3 linked regions of the Macaca mulatta genome follow. The protein of the gene in region 3 interacts with the protein of the main gene of each other region in a pairwise test. Links are inferred from orthologs where the notes say so. Each region holds a gene or a part of one and is shown on either strand. Other genes may lie near its edges.

Region 1 (3,718 bases), on a different chromosome or scaffold from region 3:
ACTCAGTCATAGGAGCACATGCACACCCCCAACACCTCTGCCTTGATGAACTGGCGCTGTGGCTTCCTGTGCAGTAGTGAGACTGTGGGAGCTGCTGTCAAAAGGGGCTGCCACACTGGGACTCCAGCAGAGGCGATGGGACACACGGGGTATATTCTTCTGGAACAGCCAAGTCCATCCTGAGAGAGAAAATGCGGGTGTCTGTGTGTGTGATGTGAGACTGCGTGTGCATGTGCATACGTGTGTAAAGTATACAGTAGGCCCTTGGTGTGTGTGTGAGACTGTGTGTGTGCATGTGCATATGTGTGTACAGTGTACAGTTGGCCCTTGGGGTGTGTGTGAGACTGTGTATGTGTGCATGTGCATACGTGTGTAAAGTGTACAGTAGGCCCTTGTGTGTGTGTGAGACTCTGTGTACATGTGCATACGTGTGTAAAGTGTACAGTTGGCCCTTGGGGTGAGACTGTGTATGTGTGCATGTGCGTACATGTGTAACGTGTACAGTAGGCCCGTGTGTGTGAGAGACTGTGTGTGCATGTGCATACGTGTGTAAAGTGTACAGTGGGCCCGTGTGTGTGTGTGAGACTGCGTGTGCATGTGCATACGTGTGTAAAGTGTACAGTAGGCCCTTGTGTGAGTGTGTGTGAGACTGTGTGTACATGTGCGTACATGTGTAAAGTGTACAGTAGGCCCGTGTGAGTGTGAGAGACTGTGTGCATGTGCATACGTGTGTAAAGTGTACAGTTGACCCTTGGTATGTGTGTGTGTGTGACTGTGTGTGTGTGTATGTGTGCATGTGCATACATGTGTAAAGTGTACAGTAGGCCCTTTGTGTGTGAGAGAGACTGTATGTGTGCATGTGCATACGTGTGTAAAGTGTACAGTTGGCCCTTGGTATCCGCGGGTTCCATAACCATCAATTCAACCAATCTCCAGTCGAAAATAATTGGGGAAGAAAAGGATGGCTGCGTCTGTACACTGTATAACAACTATTTACATGGCGTTTACATTGTATCAGGTACTGCAAGTACTCTAGGGATGATTTAAAGTATATGGGAGGATGTGCATAGGTTGTATGCAAATATTGTGTCATTGTATCTAAGGGACTTGAGCATCCTCGGGTTTTAGTGTCCACAGGGGGTTTCCTACAGATACCAAGAGACTACTGTATGTGTGTGTGCAAGTGTGAGTGTGTATGCATGTATGTGCATATGTGCATGTCATGTGTGTGTACGTATGTGCATATGTGCATGTCGTGTGTGCATGTGTGCTTGTATGCATATGTGCATGTTGTGTGTGTGCATGTGTGTGTATATGCGTGTATGGGTGTATATGTTAGTACATGTGACAGTGCGTGTGTGCGCATGTGTGTGGGTGACTGCATGTGTGGGTGAGGGCACGTTTGTGCGCGTGTGTGTGCATGTGTGTGCTCGTGTGGGTGAGTGCATGTGCACACGTGTGTGAGAGAGCGTGTGTGTGCGCGCATGTGTGTGGGTGAGAGTGCATGTGCACGTGTGTGAGCAGGCGTGTGTGTGCGCGCATGTGCGTGGGTGAGAGGGTGCTTGTGTATATCCATGTATGACTGCATATGTATTTGCATGAGTGTGTGTGTGAGTGCATGTTTATAAATGTGTGAGGGTCTGTGTGTATGTGTATGACTACATGTTTATGTGTTATATGCATGTGTGTATGTGTGTACATGTGTATGTGCATGCGTATATGTGTATGTGTGTGCATGCGTGTATGCATGTGTGAGTGTATGTGTATGTGTGTATATGCATGTGTATGTGTGTACGTGTGTATATGCATGTGTGCGCCTGTGTATGTACGTGTATGCATGTGTTAGTGCGTGTGCATGTGTGTACGAGTATGTGTACATGTGTGTATGTGCATGTATGTGTATATGTGTGCGTGTGTGTGTGTATACATGCATGTGTCTGGCTCCCTCAGGATGGTGCCCAGGTGGATGGGTCAGTGCTCCTGGGTTTATTTGCCCCTGGTGGCCCATGTCTGAGCCCTGCCCCCTATGGCTCTGTCTGCAGGTTCTCCCATGGGCAGGTGGTCCCTCTGGATGAGCTGCGCCCCTTCCAGGACCCAGACCTGAGCTCCCTGCAGGCCGGCTCTGCGTGTCTGGCCAAGCACCAGGATGGCCTCTGGCATGCGGCGCGCATCACCGGTGAGGCTGGCCGTGGAGGCCTTCCGGGAACACCCTCCCAGGCTCCACACGTGTTATTACTGCGTGGCTGCTCCCTGCCTCCTTTGGGATGAGTGTTGGGACTCTGGCTCTGGGCCCGAAATGAGCACATCTACCCTCAGCCTCTGCCCTGCCTTGCTCCTGATGTCCAGGGTGGTTCCCCATCAGTGGCAGCTGCTGTCAAGGATGCTGACCTGCAGCTTGTCTCTGCCTCTAGATGTGGACAATGGCTACTACACAGTCAAGTTTGACTCGCTGCTGCTGAGGGAGGCCGTGGTGGAGGGGGACGGCATCCTGCCCCCACTGCGCACAGAGGCCACAGAGTCCGACTCAGACAGCGATGGCACAGGTGACTCCAGCTATGCCAGAGGTATGGCAGCAGCTGTGGAACCCAGGAGCCAGGAAGGTGGGGTCACCCTGAGAGGCTCCTGGCTTTTGAGGGCACCGACCGTCTAACCAAACTATTGGAGAGAGTGGCCACAGCGAGGGCGCCAGCCGTGCCTGGGGAGGCCGTGTGGGGCAGGGGTACAGGAGTGCGAGTGAAGGGCCGGGGTAGATCCGTGGTGGCCTTTGTCTTCAAGGAGCGTGGGTACAACAACTACAGTCTCACTGATGGGAGGCCATGGTCATGGCTGTGGCCATGGGAGAGGAGGCGCCCGGAGTTGCCAAGGAAGTCACAGAAAATGAACAACCGATGAGGCCTGGAGTGCAAGAGGGGCAGCTCCTCTGCATGGCTTCTCAAACTTGGGACCTGGGTGCCTGGTGGATCCTGGCAGACAGAGGTGGTGTCCAGACAGCCAGGGTGGAAGCTTCGGGAATGGGAACTAGTGGCCGGTGGCCAGCTCTCCAGAGGGGTGTGTGTATACGTGTGTGTGTATATGCGGGAGGTCACCTGACCCAAGCATGGTGGGCTGAGTCCAGGAGGGGTCTGCATGTTGGAGGTGTACCCAGGGATCAGTGATGGTGGTTTCTGAAGCCCCAAGTCCCTGGTGAAGGAGGACCAAACCAAGGACTCTGTGAGGGCAGGTGAGGAGCTCATGGCCTTGCGAAGGTGGAGAAGGGCAAGGGCAGGAGAGGGCTGTGGAGGAGGGGTCACGGTGCAGGAGGCCGTGGGGACTGCCATGCACTCTGCCTGGTGTCACATGCCCACAGCAGCCTCAGTGACAGAGCACGGAGCCCCAGAGGTGGGGTGTTGGGGCTCTGCCCAGGATCTGAGCTCATTGGTCAGAGCCCAGGTCACCATGCATAGTCCTCTGCCCTGGCCGGCCACTGCCCTCTGTCCTTCTCTTGCAGTGGTGGGGTCGGACACTGTGGACTCCGGGACCTGCAGCTCTGCCTTTGCCGGCTGGGAGGTGCACACGCGAGGCATAGGCTCCAGACTCCTCACCAAGATGGGCTACGAGTTTGGCAAGGGTGAGTACAAGCAGCCCTGGAGAAGTGGGCAGAGGCTGCAGCATAGCCCAGGTCCCGCAGCCATCAGATTCCCCGGGGGTCCCGCAGCCATCAGGTTCCCGGGGCTCCCGC
Region 2 (4,859 bases), on a different chromosome or scaffold from region 3:
CAGCAGAAGTCTTCTTTTTGCCAGAGATGTAAGGCATGTTAAGAGAAGCCTTTAAACAGTATATGCATACCCATATAGTCTACTAGGAGAAGATCAATAGTCTCACAGGAAAAGGACTAAGCACCTTCCCAGAACTGGAAACAGATTCACATTTCAAAGCTCTATTTTTGGGGTGGAGGCCAAGCCACTTAGGCTGCTGGCACCAAGATGGAAGCTGTATGCAAACTGACATCTCAGACTCTCCCAACACTCTCAAGATTTTATCCAAATGATCTATTTTCAGTCCTGTTTTTAGAATAACACAGATGAAACTTGTAAGAGGAAATCTTAACAGTATTTTCAGAATGCCAGCAGAATAACATTTCAACTGGATTTACATTTCTTACAGTGAGAAAATGGCAGTTTCCAAGTTCTCACTCCAGCCTTCAGCACCACATCCTCCCCTATCCTCCCCTTGACCCCCACCCCACTGCAGTGGAACTTGGACTCCTTGATCTTATTCAGATCCTAAATGAACATACTCCATTTTCACAGCAGACTGAAAGGAAGGTTGGTGAACAATCTTGGGAGTGGGTCAAATGAAAATAATTTGGTATGCCTGGCCCAGAACATACACACTTAAGCAGGAGGCACATCTTTTTTGAGTTGACAATATCATATCAGAAGACGAAGAAAATTCATATCTGACACACAGTGATGTCTGGTCATAAAGAGCAAATGACTAAGAAAAGGAGGCAAACCATGTACCTCCATAAAACCCTCAAACCTGCCAACATACTCCATATGGCTTGCAGCACATGGCTCATTCCTTCCCACAATTTCCAGCTCCACCTCCCATTCAAAGCCAGCCATGTATCTTAGAGCAGACAGGAAGCATAAGAATTACTCACAGATAACTGCTGAAGAAGCACATCGATTCCATCCAGCTCCCCAAGCAATTCCCTGTTTTCTAAAAGGGGGAAAAAATAGAGGAAGAAAAAAAAATGAACCTAACTGTCAGATTTTACAGCCGTCTAACACTGATACATCAGCAAACAAAATCAATACAGCTTGACAGAGTACAAAAGCAGCACAGGGAGCGAGAGGGAGAGCAAAGGGATGCCAAAGGCAAGAGAGCTTGCTGTCATGATCTGAAACAAGCCTGGCTCCTATCCTAACAGAATATCAATACTGAGAGGGCGCCTCACCATCATTGTCCTGGAGCAGTATGGCCAGCACTTCACTGCAATACAGTTTGTTGGCATCGAAAGGCATCTTTGCCTATGGGGAAATAGGAGAAATGAGAAAAATGTTAAGAGGTCTTGCTTCCTTCCCCAGGACAAATTTTTCATGAGTACTACGATCTGAGTTAGAGAGAAGGAGAAGTTAGAAAGGGAAAAGGCAGTTAAGGGGAAAAACGTCGGCCTCTGCTCTCAAGAGACCAGAACCAAGTAAAGTGACAGACTGAAACAATGGTTCTCACACTCTTAATGCCCAGGTATTAAGGTTACCTCCTCGGTAAAGACTTCCAAGATTTCCCATTTTGAGTCCAGAGATTATATATGTCTAGCCCATAGTACTCAAATGTGAACTAGAAGAATGAGAGTTTTGAACTTTTAAGACTAAAACTCACCATGAAGCTTAATGCACAAGCTACAATCATGAAATTAGGCTATAAATTAGTTAATATATGAGCAGAGAAGTTGAAAAGAAAGCAATTCTTGATTAACTGAATATATTTATCACAAAGTAGTTCCTTCTGGATTTTTTTAATGCTTAAAATTTAATTTGAAATCATAAACCTATCTGCTTGCATGCCATAATCTGCCTATTATTTAAAAAGGAAACCACATTAAATATGCAAAAATGTGTTAATATTTTAACACCCAAATTACTACCCACAATTCTTTCCCTGCTGCATGGTCTGCTACTTGGGAGTTTCAGAGGGGACACATCTACTGCACAGACTATTTTTCATGGCTGTCCTCACTGTTGCTTCGGTAGTGAGACTTAAATATCTCACCATTATCACTGCCCCTTGGATGAAGGTGCACAGAGAGGAGCGAGTCTCAGTGATGTGTTTTTATTTATGGTGTCCATGATCCTTAAAATGCAGGCATGTAAACAATGACTATTAATCAGCAGCAACCTTTGCTACCTATCTGTGTTTTTGAAATGACAAAGAATTTCTGTACTTGGAAAAGACAAGGGAAGTATTTATTTTGGAACTAACACTTCCGTCACCTTACCACCATTCACAGATCTGTTTAGACACTGGTTTTGTACTTAAAGAGGAAGAGTTGCACCTAATCAAGCAATATTCAGCATCATTTCAGTTTTCTGTGCACGTCTCCCTCATCAAGCTAAGTGCAGCCTACAGAGTTTCAGGAGGTCGACCAAGTATGACCATCTTAGGTTAAAAGATCTATAAATGCAAGGTCTTACATGTGCTAAATGTAAGGTATGCTCCCGGGGCAAGCTTGAAGCCTTGTTTCAAGAAATTCAGCATAATAGTCAGGGCTTAATGCAATCTGTGGTATGTTTCACTTTAAGAAAAATGGTTTCATATTAACGAAAATCAAAACATGAAGGTGAAAAGCCAAGGAGTAAGCATCCCTATCAAAATCAAGGATTCGCGAATAAAATTTCCCACTCAAACTATATAAGTTCCAAGTATTGCTATTATATTTTGAAAGATTTAAGCCGCACCAACTTAAACGTTAGCTTTGCAAGGGCCATGGTTCTTGTTTAAAACAAGATACTTAACTGAAAGAAGTCACAAGACAGTAGGTCATTAGAGCCACGGCCTTTCTGTGGATCTAATGCCTCTTGTCCTTTATTCAATTTTGTAAGCTCCTATTTTCAAGTTGGAGGCAGTTTTTCTTCCTTTCAATAAATACTTATTAGGCACCTGCTATAGGGAAGACACAGAATTAAGCAAGAGAACAAACAGGTGTGACTTAGATCTGAACCCTGTCCACTGTTGTGGCATTTAAAAACCTTACACTGAATTAAAATTAATTCTGTAGAAATGTCAAATTTCAAAAAAGAAAAAAAAAACACACGGATCTGGCATTAGACACACCTAAGGCTGACTCACGAGCACGCCACTGCCTATGTGAACAAGTCTGCTGTTCTCCAACTATGTGCTGTGGCAACTGGGGTGCCACACTGAATTCACCACAGGATATTTAAAAATTTCATGGAGAACACAGGGAAATGTGACATCTGTTGGGCACTGCATTAACTAGCATCTCAAGGTACATTTCTTCTGGTGACATCCTATCTTTGTGGAGCTGTGTTTGGATAGCTGCTCTGACAAAAATAACTGTGAAAATGGATGTGAAATCAGAATGACGGCGGTGGTGTTCAATCGGATCCTAAGGTTGGAGGATTTGAGCAGTATCAAAAGGCACACATACCATTAGGAAGTAACTATGGTATTTAAAAATGAAATAAAAATATTTTTTCTTTCAATTCGTGTGTACTATCTTCTCAAATGGCTAACAAATTGTAAGGGCATAAATACATATTAAATGGTTTGGACATAACTACTTAATAAATGAGACTATTAGGTACTTTTTGGCATAGCGGTGCTGTAAAAACAAAATTACTGAGACACTAAAAAACACCGTAAATTGACAATAGGAATCCATGACCCAAGGAACGTTCTTGGTCTCAGTTTCCTCATCTGTAAAATGAAAATAAAAAATAGCACTTTTTAAATTAAGGGCACTGACATGAAAAAAAGAAAGAAGAAATAGAAAGAATAGAAAAAAAAAAAAACACTTATTTGGAGAGTTACTATGAGAATTTAAAAACATAATATGAAAGTACCTAACACACAGTAGGTACCACAAGTTTTTCTGACAACCATAACCAGAAATATCTGCATTAGAATCTCAGCTCTAACAGTTACCAGCTATGTGACTGGCCAAATTAATATCTTCCTCATGAAGTGGCTGTACTAAGGGAACTGGTGTATACGTAACAGGCACCGACCAGCTGAGTTTCTTGCTATTGAGAATTCCTGGTTCCGCAGAAAATCTCCACCTTCTGCTGTAAGACACTACTAAGAGTTTCCAATCTACCCAAAGTAAGTTTTTAAAAACCAGACTGATAACTTCATCATTTTTTAATTAAAACGTAAGTTCTGACTGACAAATTGACATGAAGGAAGAATCTAATCAGGAAACCAAAATGATGAGGCCTGATAACTCCCCAACGCTGAGCTCTGCAATGCTTCAGAACCTAAAAGCAGTACCCGCTGGGAAGCAGCTTGGCGAGAGGAGGTGGCTTCAGAGATGCCAAGGCCCAATGCTCACAGGCTCTCCCACGTGGTTCCCATGTGGTTTGAGCAACACCATTTCCTCTCTCTGGGATTCTTTCTTTACCTGTAAACTGGGGATAACTGCACCCTCTTGGCAGGGTTGTGAGGATTAGAAATAATGTATGTGGCCAGGCCCAGTGGCTCACACCTGTAATCCCAGCACTCTGGGAAGCTGAGGTGGGAGGATCACTTGAGCCCAGGAGTTCAAGACCAGCCTGGGCAACATAGTGAGACCCCATCTCTAAAAAAAATACAAATATTAGCCAGGTGTGGTGGTGTGTACCTGAAATTCCAGCTACTTGGGAGGCTGAGGTTGGAAAATCACTTGGGCCTGGTAGGTTGAGGCTGCAGTGAGCAGTGATGGTACCAATGCACTCCAGCCTGGCCAACAGTGTGAGACGCTGCCTTAAAAAAAAAAAAAAAAAAAGAAAGAAAGAGAGGGACAGAAAGAAAGGAAAAGAAGAAAAAGAAAGGAAGGAAAGAAGGTTCTAGAAAAACACTTTAGCATGTAGTGAGCAGTCAATACATGAAACTCATATCAGATGGTGAA
Region 3 (5,364 bases):
TGTTTTAGGCCACAATTATCTCACTGTTTCCTGGCCTGTGTACCTGATCAGAATCGTTATGATCTCTGAGGTTTTCTCCTGATTTTTGAGAATCCTGCTCTGCTATGGATGGGGTGGCCAGCAGAACAGAGACAGACCAACTAAGGAGCCTTTTAAATACAGGACTATTAAAGTAGCAAATCATTGTCCTTTCTGTGACCAGCTTCTGGGGCTCCGTGATTACATGTTAAACAACAGGATCAGATGGGAGTATTTTGTAGCTGAGAGACCAATACCAGAAAAATTCCCCTTTACCCCTTCAACAGTATGTTCCTGCCTATTTACAAGAACATTTAGCATCATTTCCTTCTCAAATGGGCCATCCTGTACTCTGGAGCTAGAAGACAGTACGAGGAGAACACTGACATTCAGTGCCTACCAGTTTCTCTCCTAGGGAGCTGCACTGTTGACAGCTCTTAGTAAGAGATCACACCCTTGCCTTTACGAGGTATTTCTGTCATTTTATATAAAAGCACAAAGACACAGTGGTCAGCACAAGACTACAGCCTGTGGAAAGCATAATCACTGTCAGAGGACATCAAATCCAACACACTGGTGGGATGGCAGGAAAGCAGACTCGAAAGGAGTTCAGAGTAAATGAGTCTCCTTGTTTGCTTGTTACTCATAACATTAGGCCTAAGCTGCTTTGCTGAAACACTTAGCTCTGTGCTTTCCAAGCCATAGAAATTATACTTACTCCAATGTGTGAGACTAAAACTCACTGCACACTGAGCTGAATGACATTCGATGTGCAGCAATGCCACTTCAGGCAGTTCATTACGTTGCTTTATTCATAAGGCTGGGAGACAGGGTGGAACCACACGAATTTAACATCTTGCTGTGCCTGAAATGTTCATTAAGTGCTCTTATCTGCAGTCACCTGCCCACCCGATAGAACCACTCTCCACTAATTTAGAGACAATAATCTGTGCACATTTAAATTACGATGAACAGGAACATTTCCACTGGAAAAATCATCACACATCTTGATTTGCACTGCCAATTAGGTCTTTAGAAAAGGAAAAAAAAAAACCAAAAAACCCCTGATCATCTTACATATAGTAATTTGCCTTAATTGGTGCATAATGGATCGGATATAATTTGTGGGTAACCCCTACATGATAAATAGTTTATTTAACATTTTAGAACTACCAAAAATTAGCCTCATTATATGGCAGTAAACGTTCACTTCCAACTATACATTCTGGGACTTCTGAGTTTCCTAAGCATGAATTATGAATATCAGTGGTGGAAGTACAAAGGACTCTCCAGCCTAACAACAGGAGTGATACATTCCAGAAACATTTTCTGATTACATTCACAAGGAGCTCAGGATAAATTGCAGATACATTTCCTGATTAAACTCACAAGGAGCTCAAATCTCCATCCAGAGGGTTTGTTTTTTGTTTTGTTTTGTTTTGAGTCCTGTAGCAGCAGAAACTCCTAGAAGGTTAGGACACTGGCCGGGAGTGGTGGCTCACGCCTGTAATCCCAGCACTTTGGGAGGCCGAGGCGGGTGGACCACCTAAGGTCAGCAGTTCAAGACCAGCCTGGACAACATTGTGAAACCCTGTCTCTACTTAAAAAAAATATATATATATATATATATAAAAATAATTGGGCGCGGTGGCGGGCGCCTGTAATCTCAGCTACTCGGGTGGCTGAGGCAGGAAAACTGCTTGAACCTGGGAGGCGGAGGTTGCAGTGAGCGCCATTACACTCCACCCTGGACAAAAGCGAAACTCCGTCTCAAAAAAATAAAAAAAAATTGGATGCTAATTTTTTACGGTATTAAAATTAGCACAGTAATTAAATTTTTTACGGTATTAAAATTAGCACAGTAATTAAATGTTTTACGGTATTAAAATTAGCACGGTAAAAGCTAGTGGCAAAAAATAAAAAATAAAAAATCGAACCCTGTCTCATTCCCTAGGCTTTACTGTTTGTTTCCCTTGCTTTTCAGAGTTTCTCTCACAGGAGGCATTTTAAAAATATTCTCAGAAACATCAACAACAGATTTTTCTCAAACGACCATTTTCAGGAAGGCTTCAGAAACTACTAAAAGGCCAAAGCTACCGTTAGTGGCTCGGTCTTTGCCGCCAGACTCGGGCAGGTGACAGCGGCTTGGGCTCGGGCACCTGGCACTCAGCGCCTTCCAATGCTGGCGGCCCCGCCTCCCCTTCTCCCCGGCCAGGCACGCAGGTGGAGGAAAGTAAACACCAGTCGGAGGCAAAGTGGAAGCAGTGAGTCTAGCGACTCTCACAAAAACAAGTGGAAAAAAAAAAAAAATCCTCGCACAAAGCATCTCTGTACTCACAAGCAGAGGCGTGGCTGCTTGTTTCCCTTTTTAAAGGTTGCATTTTTAGTTCTTTTGAAAAATGTTTTTATTGCTTACTTCTAAGTAAACATTTATCTCCATTACGATAACGTAGAGTAAAGCTCTTTTAAGAGGTAAAAAGAGAAAACTGAAGTCACGTTCACATTCCCACCACTCACTGAAACGTTTGGAGGAACTTACTCAACTGTTTGCTAATGAGTTTTAAAGGATAGTTAGGCCCTTAACGCGTAATTGGGGTCGTGCTGTGCATATGATTTGGGATCTTGCAGCTTGTTTAACTTGGCCCAATGACGTTACCATTTCCCCCAAATGGTTACTAATTCCTTGAGAACGTTTACAAAAGTTCTAGAATAAACACTAAAGTTACTCTTTTTAAACTCCATTATCCAAGTTGGACTGGTCTGGCGATCGACTATTAAAAAAAATAATACAACTTTCTTAAGCTTCCTGATCTCTGTGCCAATTCCCGGAGAAAGTGTTGGGAGTGCACAAAAAAGCCCCTCCCCCGTCTCAGGAGGGCTGCAAACGCAAGCGCTGCGCCCCGCTAGCTCCCCGCCTGCACCCCTGGCAGCCACCCGAGACTGAGCAGAGCGCCAGGCTGAGCGCAGTTCTGTGCTGGGGCGACCGGGCTCTGTGGTCCGCGTGGCACAAACGTGACCCACCGCGCACACCTGCAGGGCGCGCCCACTCCGGCACTCACTCGGCTGGGCGCGCCAGATTCCCAGCAGAGCAGCCAAGGGCCACGTTTCCAGCCCAAGGCCAGCAGGACCGAGTCGCAAAGGGAAGTCAAACTGTCGGTGCTTCCGGACGGCGGCGGACGGCCAGACCCTCACCTGGTAGCGAGTCGCCAACTCCATGCTTCCTGACGGGGCGCCAGTCTCCTCCCAGCACGCGGCCACGGGAGCCCGGACTCGCCACGGTCCGGCGCACCAAGAACGCCCCGCACCCGAGCAGCCAGCGCGCAGCGCCCGGAGCACAGGCGGGCCCCGGGAGGGGCGCACTCGGCGCTCGGGACAGGGGGAGCGCGTCGCGCTGCCCGCTCGGTGCCGCCTCACTGGGCCTCGTGGCTCCGACCACCGTCCCAACTTCGCGGCCACTGACCTTGTCTTCGCAGGCGGCGCGAGAGGGGGCTGCAGTTGGGGGTGGCATGAGCAGTTACCAGTGTTAGGGCGCCGGGTTCCCCCCTGTAGGGGAGGGAGGGAGTGGAGCCGTCCGGCGGGGTTTAGCGCGGGAGAAATGAGGGGGCTGTCCCGGCGCAGCCTCCAGCTGGCACGCGCGCAGGATACTTGGCAGGGTTTATTCCAGGTCATGCCCTAGGGCTCGAGCTTCTGCTGCAACCCCTGTCTCTGATCCAGGAAAATATTGTAGGGCGGTTTTGGGGCTTGTTTTGTTTTGTTGTTGTAAAGGGGCAGCGTTCTCTTTGGGAGGATTCCGTCTCCCAAAACATTTGCTACAGGGTTCACTTTGCAAAACGGGCAACCCAGGTTTCTTTACTAGGGCCCCGGTGGACACTGCAAATCCGCCTGAAACTTTAAACGGCCATTACACAGTAGGCCTCCACACCCACCAAACAGAGTTTGTAGAGGTCAGGAATGCTGATTAATTTAGCAGAATTGACCCCGGCACCTACTAAGCATCAGGCACTGGGTTAGTCCTAGGAACAGAAGGGTGAACAAAAACAGGCCCCTGCTCTGTTGGAGTTTACAGCCTGAGAGCCAGTTACCAACCTAATTGCATTATTCTAAATAAATACAACAATGATGCAAATAAGCGTAATGATAACAATGATGTAAATTTTATAAATTAGATTTATAATTAATATTAATTTGATACCACTAGCAATGACAAATGTAATGATGATGCAAATAAATGTCAATTTGGAGCGATGATGCCATGAGAAAAAAGGCAAGTGGTATTATGGTGGTGTAAAATAGGGAGACAATCTGGGAGAGGTAAGGGAATACTTCTTAGAGCTCAGGTATGAAGAGTGAGGAATTAAGTTTGTGGAAATTGTGCGAGACTTGAAGTAGAGAGTGGGGAGAATGGTAAATGAAGTTGTCCTGAAATCACAGCAGGTTTGCTGGACAGTGTCGAACGCCTATTTAGAACCGTGGTCATGGGTTTACAATAGAGCATCCTGTATGCATAGGACCTTCTGCAGCCCCTCTCAACTGCTTAGGATCTGACGTTCATCTTTATTGAGTGAGTGAATGAAATTTGCTAAACATTTACTCAAGCTTTAAGAGAAAACATGGAAAAGGTTTATTTCCTTTGGTTAGTTCAGCAAACAACATGTGTTATGTGCTCTCATGTTCCAGCCCTCAGTGTTCTTACTTCCTGGTAGTAGTAAGACCAATACAACATTGTCTAACTTAAAATGTTTTATTTTTATTGGATGTTAATTATTCATTGTAGCTACTTCATTTTTATTATGCTTTAGAGTTTTCCTTCACATGCAGTATCTCTTTGAATCCTCTCAATATCCTTCCAGATTCTTATTGTCCACATTTTTAAAATAAGGAAACAGAATCTAAGAAAATACATTTAAGAGATCCCTGCCACCCTGCCACTAAGTGACAGCAGCAGACTGCCAAACTGAAAACCATTCCTTATTCCTCCAGATCCAACATTCTTTCCCTTTCTTGTAGTTTTTCCCTTTGGCTGCCAGGAAGCTTACAGTGAAAATTAATTCAATCAGAGCTCTTCTTCCTTGTTTTGTGGGGGCTTTTTTTGTTTTTTGTTTTTTGGGGTTTTTTTTAAGATAATTGCTTCCTCAGGAACTGCTGATCTTATTTGCACACCTTTTCGTTGTAGGTTAAATCAAATCCATTTTGGAAAAGGGAGCACAAATTTGAAGCAGGTCAGATTTTGCAAAGCACTTGAAGCAGCGTAGCCTAGCTACTTCTGTATCAGGAAACCTATAAGCTGTTGAGCCTTTCTCTTCAGAAATTTGCTATAACCAGCCCTAAGTCCAGATGACAACCCGG

The links. The genes of interacting proteins can lie anywhere in the genome.
Region 1: the proteins of CDCA7L (region 3) and ZGPAT interact in binary tests that used the Homo sapiens proteins (3 or more experiments, as listed by UniProt). The two-hybrid records come from large-scale screens. The link is inferred for Macaca mulatta from reciprocal best matches to the Homo sapiens genes CDCA7L and ZGPAT.
Region 2: the proteins of CDCA7L (region 3) and CTNNBL1 interact in binary tests that used the Homo sapiens proteins (3 or more experiments, as listed by UniProt). The link is inferred for Macaca mulatta from reciprocal best matches to the Homo sapiens genes CDCA7L and CTNNBL1.

Annotation. Positions count from the first base shown.
Region 1 is NC_133415.1:116,592,199-116,595,916, forward strand, and holds part of ZGPAT (zinc finger CCCH-type with G patch domain-containing protein), read left to right. Parts: exon of another isoform or gene 1-179; intron 180-2,042; coding exon 2,043-2,176; intron 2,177-2,388; exon of another isoform or gene 2,389-2,411; coding exon 2,412-2,564; exon of another isoform or gene 2,565-3,487; coding exon 3,488-3,607; exon of another isoform or gene 3,608-3,718. UniProt on the Homo sapiens protein: Transcription repressor that specifically binds the 5'-GGAG[GA]A[GA]A-3' consensus sequence. Represses transcription by recruiting the chromatin multiprotein complex NuRD to target promoters.
Region 2 is NC_133415.1:90,637,187-90,642,045, reverse strand, and holds part of CTNNBL1 (beta-catenin-like protein 1), read right to left. Parts: intron 1,261-4,859; coding exon 1,188-1,260; intron 950-1,187; coding exon 891-949; intron 1-890. UniProt on the Homo sapiens protein: Component of the PRP19-CDC5L complex that forms an integral part of the spliceosome and is required for activating pre-mRNA splicing.
Region 3 is NC_133408.1:106,352,609-106,357,972, reverse strand, and holds the start of CDCA7L (cell division cycle-associated 7-like protein), read right to left. Parts: upstream 3,359-5,364; 5' UTR 3,235-3,358; coding exon 3,211-3,234; intron 1-3,210. UniProt on the Homo sapiens protein: Plays a role in transcriptional regulation as a repressor that inhibits monoamine oxidase A (MAOA) activity and gene expression by binding to the promoter.